Linked DNA regions of Arabidopsis thaliana. Each later gene encodes a partner of the first gene's protein in a complex. Each region holds a gene or a part of one and is shown on either strand. Other genes may lie near its edges. A codon is read from its position in the direction of its gene.

Evidence for each region.
Region 2: the proteins of AT5G66900 (region 1) and EDS1 are in contact, whole or in part, in a cryo-EM structure (PDB 8YN1), measured with the Arabidopsis thaliana proteins. Residues at the interface, in NP_201491.1 of Arabidopsis thaliana: Glu798, His801, Asn802, Leu803; in NP_190392.1 of Arabidopsis thaliana: Arg383 (codon at 1,591), Glu416 (codon at 1,492), Phe419 (codon at 1,483), Lys420 (codon at 1,480), Val423 (codon at 1,471), Glu427 (codon at 1,459).

What each region holds. Positions count from the first base shown.
Region 1 is NC_003076.8:26,714,040-26,719,610, reverse strand, and holds AT5G66900 (Disease resistance protein (CC-NBS-LRR class) family), read left to right. Parts: upstream 1-1,652; 5' UTR 1,653-1,709; coding exon 1,710-2,496; intron 2,497-2,586; coding exon 2,587-2,990; intron 2,991-3,099; coding exon 3,100-3,452; intron 3,453-3,534; coding exon 3,535-3,731; coding exon of another isoform or gene 3,732-3,766; exon of another isoform or gene 3,767-3,847; coding exon 3,848-4,680; 3' UTR 4,681-4,888; downstream 4,889-5,571. Other genes in the region: AT5G66910 (Disease resistance protein (CC-NBS-LRR class) family), read left to right, coding at 1-66, 161-360, 441-1,273; AT5G66890 (Leucine-rich repeat (LRR) family protein), read left to right, coding at 5,228-5,430, 5,536-5,571. UniProt on the Arabidopsis thaliana protein: Probable disease resistance protein.
Region 2 is NC_003074.8:17,754,688-17,759,878, forward strand, and holds EDS1 (alpha/beta-Hydrolases superfamily protein), read right to left. Parts: upstream 3,461-5,191; 5' UTR 3,006-3,460; coding exon 2,688-3,005; intron 2,612-2,687; coding exon 1,880-2,611; intron 1,784-1,879; coding exon 1,703-1,783; intron 1,607-1,702; coding exon 866-1,606; 3' UTR 642-865; downstream 1-641. Other genes in the region: AT3G48080 (alpha/beta-Hydrolases superfamily protein), read right to left, coding at 1-60, 141-458; RR5 (response regulator 5), read right to left, coding at 4,425-4,599. UniProt on the Arabidopsis thaliana protein: Positive regulator of basal resistance and of effector-triggered immunity specifically mediated by TIR-NB-LRR (TNL) resistance proteins.

The DNA.
Region 1 (5,571 bases):
TAACAAGTTCATGTTATACCTTAATGAGCTTGCTTCCCAGAATCTGCTTAAACTTGTTCATCTCGGGTACGTTGGTGTTGTTTTTTACAACATTTGTTTCATTGCACCTTCTTGCCATCTACCATTTGATCATGAACTTATTTGTTTTACTTACTACCAGGACAAATAAGCGCGAAGACGGTTTTTACAATGAGTTGTTAGTCACTCAACATAATATTCTGAGGGAGTTGGCTATTTTTCAAAGTGAATTGGAACCAATCATGCAAAGAAAGAAACTAAATTTGGAGATACGAGAGGACAACTTTCCGGACGAGTGTTTAAATCAACCTATTAATGCTCGACTTTTGTCTATCTATACGGGTAATTCTTTAAGATCCTCTTCTTCTTTTTCCCCTGAAAATCATGCATAGAAATATGACCACCTTTTTTTTTTGTTACAGATGATTTGTTCTCATCGAAATGGTTGGAAATGGATTGCCCCAATGTTGAGGCTTTAGTTCTTAATATCTCCTCATTAGACTATGCATTGCCAAGCTTCATTGCTGAAATGAAGAAGCTAAAGGTTCTGACAATCGCAAATCACGGTTTTTATCCAGCAAGATTGAGTAATTTCTCGTGTCTCAGCTCATTACCAAACCTGAAACGGATTAGATTTGAAAAGGTTTCAGTCACTTTGCTGGACATTCCTCAATTGCAACTCGGCAGTCTCAAGAAGCTATCATTTTTCATGTGTAGTTTCGGTGAGGTTTTCTACGACACAGAAGATATAGATGTCTCTAAAGCTCTATCGAATTTACAAGAGATTGACATAGACTACTGCTATGATCTTGATGAGTTACCATATTGGATCCCCGAAGTTGTTTCATTGAAGACACTTAGCATCACAAACTGTAACAAGCTCTCTCAACTTCCAGAAGCTATAGGGAACTTGAGTAGACTAGAAGTGTTGAGGATGTGTTCTTGTATGAATCTCTCTGAGCTGCCTGAAGCAACTGAGAGACTCAGCAACTTGCGGTCTCTGGATATTTCTCATTGCTTAGGATTGAGAAAGTTGCCTCAAGAGATTGGCAAACTACAGAAACTGGAGAATATCTCGATGAGGAAGTGTTCGGGATGCGAGTTGCCGGATTCAGTGAGGTATCTAGAGAATCTGGAGGTCAAATGCGATGAAGTAACTGGATTGTTGTGGGAAAGGTTGATGCCAGAAATGAGAAATTTGAGAGTTCACACGGAGGAAACAGAGCATAACCTGAAGTTGCTTCTAACGTTTTAAGTTTTGAGTGAAAAAAAAAACATTTTCGTAGCTTGTGTATTCTTATTGACTCTTTAATGATCACAATCTAGACTAAACGAGTAATAATATTACAAGAGTCAACATGCTATGTCTCGGGTTTGATACTAGTTTATTGCTCTGTAATGAAATTACTAACCACGCTGTATCATTGTATGTACTAGTGATTTTAAATTATGAGCTTTTCAAATACGCATGTTATATTGGGCCGTAGAAACATAAAGGCTTAATTTGAATAAGCCGCTTTGAAAAAGGCCCAATCTAAGAAAGGCATACTCTCGCACGTACGAGGAGAGCACGTTCCGTCTATCGAACAACGTGTGGTTAACGTAAAAGACCAAACGCAAACGCAGTCGTTTTCCTTGGTCATTGCGCGGCAAGGGACCGAGTCTGAGAAGTCAAAGGCGACAGCTTTGCTATGCAATTCGTCTCCTTCGTCTATCTACATTTTTATGAACCACACATTGATATTTCAGTGATCCCCTTTTTCGATTTTCAGCGATTCTACAAACAAGTTTTTTTTTTTTTTTTGGATTCTGGGTTTTGTCTGAGAAGTGAAAGAATGAACGATTGGGCTAGTTTGGGAATAGGTTCTATTGGGGAAGCTGTGTTTTCCAAGCTCCTGAAAGTTGTGATTGATGAAGCAAAAAAGTTCAAAGCTTTCAAACCCTTGTCCAAGGATCTCGTATCAACAATGGAGATATTGTTTCCGTTAACTCAAAAGATTGATTCGATGCAAAAAGAGCTTGACTTTGGTGTAAAGGAACTAAAGGAACTTAGGGATACGATCGAAAGAGCTGATGTAGCTGTTCGGAAGTTTCCAAGAGTCAAGTGGTACGAGAAATCTAAATATACTAGAAAAATTGAGAGAATCAATAAGGATATGCTTAAGTTCTGTCAGATTGATCTTCAGCTTCTTCAGCATAGGAATCAGTTGACGTTGTTGGGTTTGACGGGAAACCTTGTGAATTCGGTTGATGGTTTAAGTAAAAGAATGGACCTTTTGAGTGTTCCTGCGCCTGTTTTTAGGGATCTTTGTTCGGTTCCCAAGCTTGATAAGGTTATTGTTGGATTGGATTGGCCATTGGGGGAGTTAAAGAAGAGACTCCTTGACGATTCTGTGGTTACTCTTGTGGTTTCTGCTCCTCCTGGTTGCGGGAAAACCACGCTGGTTAGTCGGCTTTGTGACGATCCAGATATCAAAGGTATGTATTGTTGATCCACATTAAGTCTTAAAGTTTCAATTTTTACTCGTGAATAGTTGAGCTGGTTTCTCATGTAGTTTCCTTTGGCAGGGAAGTTCAAGCATATCTTCTTTAATGTTGTGTCAAATACTCCTAACTTTAGGGTAATAGTACAGAATTTACTCCAGCACAACGGTTACAATGCACTTACATTTGAGAATGATTCTCAAGCAGAAGTTGGCTTAAGAAAACTGCTGGAGGAACTTAAAGAAAATGGTCCTATATTGTTGGTGTTGGATGATGTGTGGCGGGGAGCGGATTCTTTCCTTCAGAAATTTCAAATTAAGTTACCAAATTATAAGATTTTGGTGACTTCTCGGTTTGACTTTCCGAGTTTTGATTCCAATTATCGTTTGAAACCTTTGGAAGATGATGATGCTAGAGCCCTTCTCATTCATTGGGCATCGCGACCTTGTAACACGTCTCCTGATGAGTACGAAGATCTCCTCCAGAAGGTTGTTGTTTCATTCATCTAGATGAACCTCTATACATTTGTGATCTACGAAATCTGTAACTATATCAATAGATTCATCTTTTTCTTTTTTCACATGGTGAGTATTGCAGATATTGAAACGTTGCAATGGATTCCCAATCGTAATTGAAGTAGTGGGTGTTTCACTCAAAGGACGATCTCTAAATACATGGAAAGGTCAGGTGGAAAGCTGGTCTGAAGGGGAAAAAATTCTTGGTAAGCCTTATCCAACTGTGCTAGAATGTTTGCAGCCTAGTTTTGATGCTCTGGATCCCAACCTTAAGGAGTGCTTTTTGGACATGGGCTCATTTCTTGAGGACCAAAAGATACGTGCTTCGGTAATAATTGATATGTGGGTGGAATTATACGGTAAAGGTAGTAGTATCTTGTATATGTACCTTGAAGACCTTGCCTCCCAGAATCTACTTAAACTTGTTCCTCTCGGGTATGTTATTTATGTTTCAAATCTATATCTTTGCACCTTCTTGCCATCTACCATTAGTGGAACTTATTTATTTCTTTATCAGCACAAATGAGCACGAAGACGGTTTCTACAATGACTTCTTAGTGACTCAACATGATATCCTTAGGGAGTTGGCTATCTGTCAAAGCGAATTTAAGGAAAACTTAGAAAGAAAAAGACTAAATCTGGAGATACTAGAGAATACATTTCCAGACTGGTGTTTGAATACTATTAATGCCTCTTTATTGTCTATCTCTACGGGTAATTCTTTGGGGTCTTCTTTTTCTGAAAATTAAACTTAATGATTATACAAATCTCTGCTGTTTCTAGAAATATGACTTCTCTATAACTATGATTGGTCTCTCTTTTTCTTACAGATGATTTGTTCTCATCGAAATGGTTGGAAATGGATTGCCCCAATGTTGAGGCTTTAGTTCTAAATCTCTCTTCATCAGACTATGCATTGCCAAGCTTCATCTCTGGAATGAAGAAGCTGAAGGTTCTGACAATCACAAATCACGGTTTTTATCCAGCAAGATTGAGTAATTTCTCGTGTCTCAGCTCATTACCAAACCTGAAACGGATTAGATTGGAAAAAGTTTCAATCACTTTGCTAGACATTCCCCAACTGCAACTCAGCAGTCTTAAGAAGCTGTCTTTGGTCATGTGTAGTTTCGGTGAGGTTTTCTACGACACAGAAGATATAGTTGTCTCTAATGCTCTATCGAAATTACAAGAGATTGACATAGACTACTGCTATGATCTTGATGAGTTACCGTATTGGATCTCTGAAATTGTTTCATTGAAGACACTTAGCATCACAAACTGTAACAAGCTCTCTCAACTTCCAGAAGCTATAGGCAACTTGAGTAGACTAGAAGTGTTGAGGCTGTGTTCTTCTATGAATCTCTCTGAGCTGCCTGAAGCGACTGAGGGACTCAGCAACTTGCGGTTTCTGGATATTTCTCATTGCTTAGGATTGAGAAAGTTGCCTCAAGAGATTGGCAAACTGCAGAATCTGAAAAAGATCTCGATGAGAAAGTGTTCGGGATGCGAGTTGCCGGAGTCAGTGACGAATCTAGAGAATCTGGAGGTCAAATGCGATGAAGAAACTGGATTGTTGTGGGAAAGGCTGAAGCCAAAAATGAGAAATTTGAGAGTTCAGGAGGAGGAAATAGAGCATAACCTGAACTTGCTTCAAATGTTTTAAGTGAAAGAACGTTATCGTAGTAGCTTCTGTGGATCTTGTAATGTTTGTTATTCATTATTTTCGTTGTTATATACATTATAATGGCTACTGAGTCCAAGTACAGAGAAAATGTCATGCCAAAGAATTTTGTGTAGGTCAATCTTTTAAAACCATTTAAGAGTACTACTAAATCCTTGATCCTTATCTAACTTGAATAGATTTGAACAGAGTTATTCACCAACATTTTTGACAAACTATAAATGTAATATTCAACATTCTTAATGTTAAAAATATAATGTTGGTAAATTCTTTGAAAATCCTAAAATGTGAAGTCAAGTCTCCTTTTTCCTTTGCTAGCTAAACTTCTGTTCTGGGATTCAAACAATGGTTTGTTTGAAACTTCAAAGTACCGCGTGACTTTTCCGTTATAAATTTGATCTAATGGCTTTTATGAAGAGTCACGTTTTTTATAATCAAAGAAAGAGTCGGTCAATAGATTAAAATTTCTCTCAAATTGCTTGGTTTTCATCTTAATTCATAATTCTCCTCTCCCTTCATAGGAACCATTATGAATTCGAATTCGATTCAAAGCTTTGATGCCTTGCCCCACAATCTTCGAGAGTGTTTCTTGGACATGGCCTCATTTCTTGAAGACCAAAGGATAATAGCTTCCACTATAATTGACTTATGGTCTGCATCATACGGTAAAGAGGGTATGAATAACCTCCAAGATCTTGCCTCTCGCAATCTCCTTAAACTTCTTCCTATTGGGTATGTTACTTTCCATTCATCTACCAATTCTTAACCCTAAAGCCTATAGAAAACGGTTTCACCATATTTTTCCCAACTTTCCTTTATTTATTTGCTTTAATATAGGAGAAATGAGTATGAAGATGGTTTCTACAATGAGTT
Region 2 (5,191 bases), on another chromosome or scaffold:
GCCTCCGAAAGAATGTCCTGTGAACACAACCTGTTGTTTTCTATCAACCGCGCTTTGCACCTGAAGAAAGTAAGTTTCAGACACAAATTATTCTGATGTTTTCGATTTAAAACGCATTTAAGAAGCTTTTGTTTACTTACAGAAGCATGAAATGAGGTTCTTGGACCAATGAGAACTTCAAGTGACTTGAGGAAAGCTTCGTTAACAGTAGTGTCAACGTCGTTGCCGATGCTTCTCATACAAGGAAATTGATTACGCTTCATCTTTATTTCTCCAAAGGGAGATGTATTCTCCGTAGCGAACAAATCTTCCGACGAGAAAGATGCTCGGAAGGCGAAAAAAACGGTTCCTCCTACTTCTTCTTTGAGATAGTGCTCCGTTTGGTTAGCTCCCTTCGACGCCATCCATGATATGGTGACTAGATCACCGTTGACTCCCGTAAGAGCTTCAAACGCCATTTCTCTTTTCTTGAGTGGACTTTCTTCTCTTTTTTCTTTTGAGTCGTCTTGATTCTTAGTCCTCCTACTCTGTTAATATAGTAGGAAGATGTAGACAGGAGTAATTACCCAAAATACCCCATCATGAGACCATTTCAATCTAAGGAAGGTTGTTTGTTACTGGTTCATGCTATTTGAGATGGCTTTAGGCTTTAGTAGAGTAACGTATATATTCTAAGATCACTGTAAAGTGGAAACCAAATTTGACATTAGAATAGAGAGCTATTACATTACTTCACAATGATCATACAACATGTTTCTTATTCTAAGATCATCATGAAGTGGAAACCAGATTGATAAACATTTCTTATTGCACAAATTAAGAGAAGCAAGTGTTCTAATAGCTTAAATACTCCACCACCTAAGGTTCAGGTATCTGTTATTTCATCCATCATATAGTCTCGCAGAGGAGAATGCGATTTGTGATTTTTGGGAAGCGTAATCCACCACTTTCTAAACGTTGAACCCTCCAGAAATATTTCCTTATCATCTACCTCCCCGTCTGTGATCCATTCTCCAAGCATCCCTTCTAATGTCTTAACTCTTACCTCAACTTCCTCGTATGGCTTTCCTTTGAGTTCTTCAACCTCAGCCCAAAAGCATGATCCGCACTCGGATCCCGAATTCTTTAGAGTCTCTTGAATTTCTTCTAGCTGTAACCCTAAGTTAAGACCATTTACCTTGTTCCAAAATACATCTTCTGCAATCATTCCGTTTGGCTTCAGTATATAATGTTCGTAGCCTCTCTGAGCATATATGTAGCGGGTTGGTCTTCCTCTTTTCATGTACGGCCCTGTGTCTTCGTTCTTTAAATGTCGATGGTAGTTTGCAATATCAAGAGGCTCAACTAATCTGCGGTATCGAGTTGCTAACTTGATCCAATCTATGTCCCCTTCGAACTCATCTGGAAGTTGACATTTCTTCATTAAACCAAGCACCTCGTCAAAAACACCGGCTAACTCAGCTCTCTTGACGTTTGCTTTGAAGTCATTCTCTTCATTTGAAACTTTGAAGGAATCATAATACCCATTTTTATGGGCTTGACACTTTGGCTTGTATTCATCTTCTATCCATGCTAGTTTCTTTAAAAACCTCTCTTGCTCGATCACCTAAAAACCACAGAACCAACAAGTTTTATGTTGTTAGACACAAACAGACGAAGCACGTACCTGCATTATTCATGAACAAGCTTATCAACCACAAACCTGAATAATCTTCTTCTGATTCTCTACTCGTTTCTTCTCTTCCTCTAATGCAGCTTGAACGTACTGTCTGCCTCTTGTGCTCTGCAGAAAAAGGAAACACTCTGAAGGGTTTAAATGATTGCAAGAATGGAGCTATGGAGCTGCACAGTATGAAAAGAGAGAGAGAGAGAGACTTACCACTCCAAGGTCATTGAGCGTAGACTCTATTGAGTTTTCTCCATCCAAATGATTAAACAACTTCTTTCCCATCGACTGTACCAGTTCCTCATAGCTATGATGATCTCTGATACTTCGAAATGGAATTAGAGACCATTCTTGTTCATCGCTGGCTTGAGAAGTGTAAAACAGCATTTGAAGAATGGCGTCCGAGTTGTTCACTGCAACCAATCTCTTCTCTGTAGAGAAAACAAAAGTACCGGCGGGTCTATAAGGACTTAGCTCAAGGAAACTAGAAAGGGTCTCTAAAAACGCCTCTGCGCTTCCAGTCAATTCACAAACAGCTTGGTTTGCAACAGTTGATGTGTCTCGCATCACCCTTGTGTAAAACTCTGTTATTCTCTGTTCACTCTCTTGGACGGAAGACTTTCTGGGATCCAATTGGGCAAGAACATGAGGCAAAGTTTCCTCTACAGACGCCTTTCGAGCAAGCATAATCCGAGGGACAATATCGAATCTTGAGACAAAGTTCACAAAGAACCGGCTCCATTTTTCTCTCCCAAGTGCGTGACTGAAGATAGAGTCACCAACCAAAGGAGCTCCAAATGTCACACAACGAGGCTCAAGGTAAACATTTGGATTGCGTATGAAGTATTTCTCCAAATACCAAACTGTTGCTAAGATTGCAGTTGCACCTCCTGAGGAATGTCCTGTGAACACTATCTGTTTTCTACTCCTCACAGCCATTTCCACCTGAAGAAGTAAAAGCATAAGAGACCAAAAAAGAAAAAAAAAGAAAAATATATTCGGATGTTTTCAATCTTCTTACAGAAGCTTGAAATGAGGTTCTTGGATCAATGATAGCTTCAAGATTCTTGAGGAAAGCTTCGTTAACAGTAGCTACATCACCTTTACCGATTTTCCTCATACAAGGAAACTGAACACGGTTCAACTTGATTTCTCCAAAGGAAGATTTATTGTCCGGATCGAAGAAATCTTTCTCTGAGAAAGATGGTTGGAAAGCGAAGATTACGACTGCTCCTGCTTCTTCCTTGTGATAGCGCTCGGTTAGGTAAGCTTGCTTCGAGGCTGACCATGATCTGGTGATTAGATCACCATTGATTCCGGTAAGAGCTTCAAACGCCATTGATCTATATCTATTCTCTTTTCTTTAGTGGACTTTCTTCTCTCTTTTTTCTTTTGAATCGTCTTGCTTCTTTAATCCGCTCCTACTCTGTTAATTTATGGGAAGATGTAGACAGGACTAATTAGTTACCCAAAATACCCCATCATGAGACCATTTCAATGCAAAAATGGGTTTTTTTTTTTGGAGTTGACTCTTTGGCTATTGGAGACTCATGAAGAAAGAAAAGCTAGGAATCTTAGCTTTCCACGTGTCGGTTTTACATTGGTGTATGGCTTTGTACATCCGACATGACTGGAGTTTCGCAGAAACTTTCATAAACATTCACATTTGGTCGGAAAGTTTTCTCTGTGTAATCTTTGCTTGGAAATTTTGTAGCTTGACTTTGGAGTCTTCGTCTCTTTAATATAGACTCCATCTTTTGGTTTGAGATGTCACTCTCGGTTGGGATTTCGCAGTAACTCAATGATATTCACTTTTTTGTCGGAAAACAATTTTGTTGTTTAATGAATGAGGAGATTTGTTCGCTTGGAGTTAAGTTTTTGTAGCTTGACTTGGGTTTTCAGATTTGGTCTCGTATAGAAGAAATCTACTACTTTAACTCTGTTTTGCTTATAAATCTTATCCGGAAAGTAAACCGGATAATCTACAAGATATGGAACCGGTTCGATTTCTCTCAGCTGAATATTAACCGAATTAACTAACTACACCTTCTTGCCTGGTCCGTTTTTGCGTTCGGCAAGACGCGTCACATTCGACTTTTACTTGTTTGATTATGAAGTTACATGAACCGGACTAGAAAAATTTAGTTTGTTTTTTTGGCTAAACCAAATTGCATAACCATATTTTGCTTTCAGATAGAATGAAAAAGCCTAGGAGACTAAATTAACAAAAGAAACAAAAAAAAGTCTAGGAGACTAGAATTTTCTTGGTCTTAATAAAACCCAACTTGGGGAAATTTCTACGAAAAGCCATGTAAAGTGTTCCAACCAACGCTTAAAATAACTAACTTATCTCGCTGGATTCGATTCATGTAGACAGCTTTATTTTAATTAGACAAAAGATTAGCTTGTCTTCGTGTAATGAACGGTACTAAACTACTAATCCATTCCTAAATCATTATTTAAGTAATCTTAACAAAAGAAATTCATATGTTAACTTCCAAAATAACACACCACCATTTTACATATCTCTCATGTAAAGAAAAAAAAAATGTATCTCTTCTCCTCTCTAATGAATCCAAGTCTACAATTTACATTTCTATCTTATAAAAACCCATCTTTGTCACTCTTGATCAGTCTTGGTTCTATCAGCAAAAGAAGCCGTAATGTCTCAAAAATTGTAAGCCGAAAGAATCAGGACATGCATGTGTGTGAATCTTTGAGCTTTTAAAGAACATATCGTACGTGGAATCTGATAAACTCAGATCTTTGCGCGTTTTAGCTGCGAGTAGATATCATTAGCTTCAAGCTCTCTCTTGTGCATAATATTCTTAAAAGCTCTTTCCTCAGCTTTCATTAAAGAATCTCTTAATCTCTTCACATCAGCTAATTTCACAGGCTTCAATAAGAAATCTTCAGCTCCTTCTTCAAGACATCTGAATAAATATAAGGAACCAAATGTTAGTGATCTAATTCCATAAAGTTTATAACTTTGGATACAGAAAATGGCCAGCTCATATATGATAATCATTAAACTTAATCTGGTAAAGAGGGTTTGGTTCCTTAGTAATAAGCAAAGGCATGTGAGGTGTCTATCACGAGGATTGGGATTTTATAAATGACCCTACCTAAGATTATGCAACCCAAACAATTAAAACATATATTATAAAGTTTTGGAGGGCCTAACATGTCACCGGCTTATATAGAATCAAATCTCAAGAGAAGATCTTGCTTAACTTATGATGGATTATTCTTTTCTAAATTTATGGCCACAAGATAAATTTTATTATTCCTAAGATCCATTTTAAAAATCATTTTAGGACCCACTAAAATAAACACCAAATCTCAGCTTGATCAAATATACAACCACCACCAAAGTTAACCCCATGATAGTTAAAAAGTAATCATATAATAACCTTTTCTATCATAACAAAATCTTGTGATTATACAACAATTTAATTTAGTCAATACATATCCTTTAACGGTAACTTTATCACAAATCCTAAATTAGTGTGATTACTTTAAAAA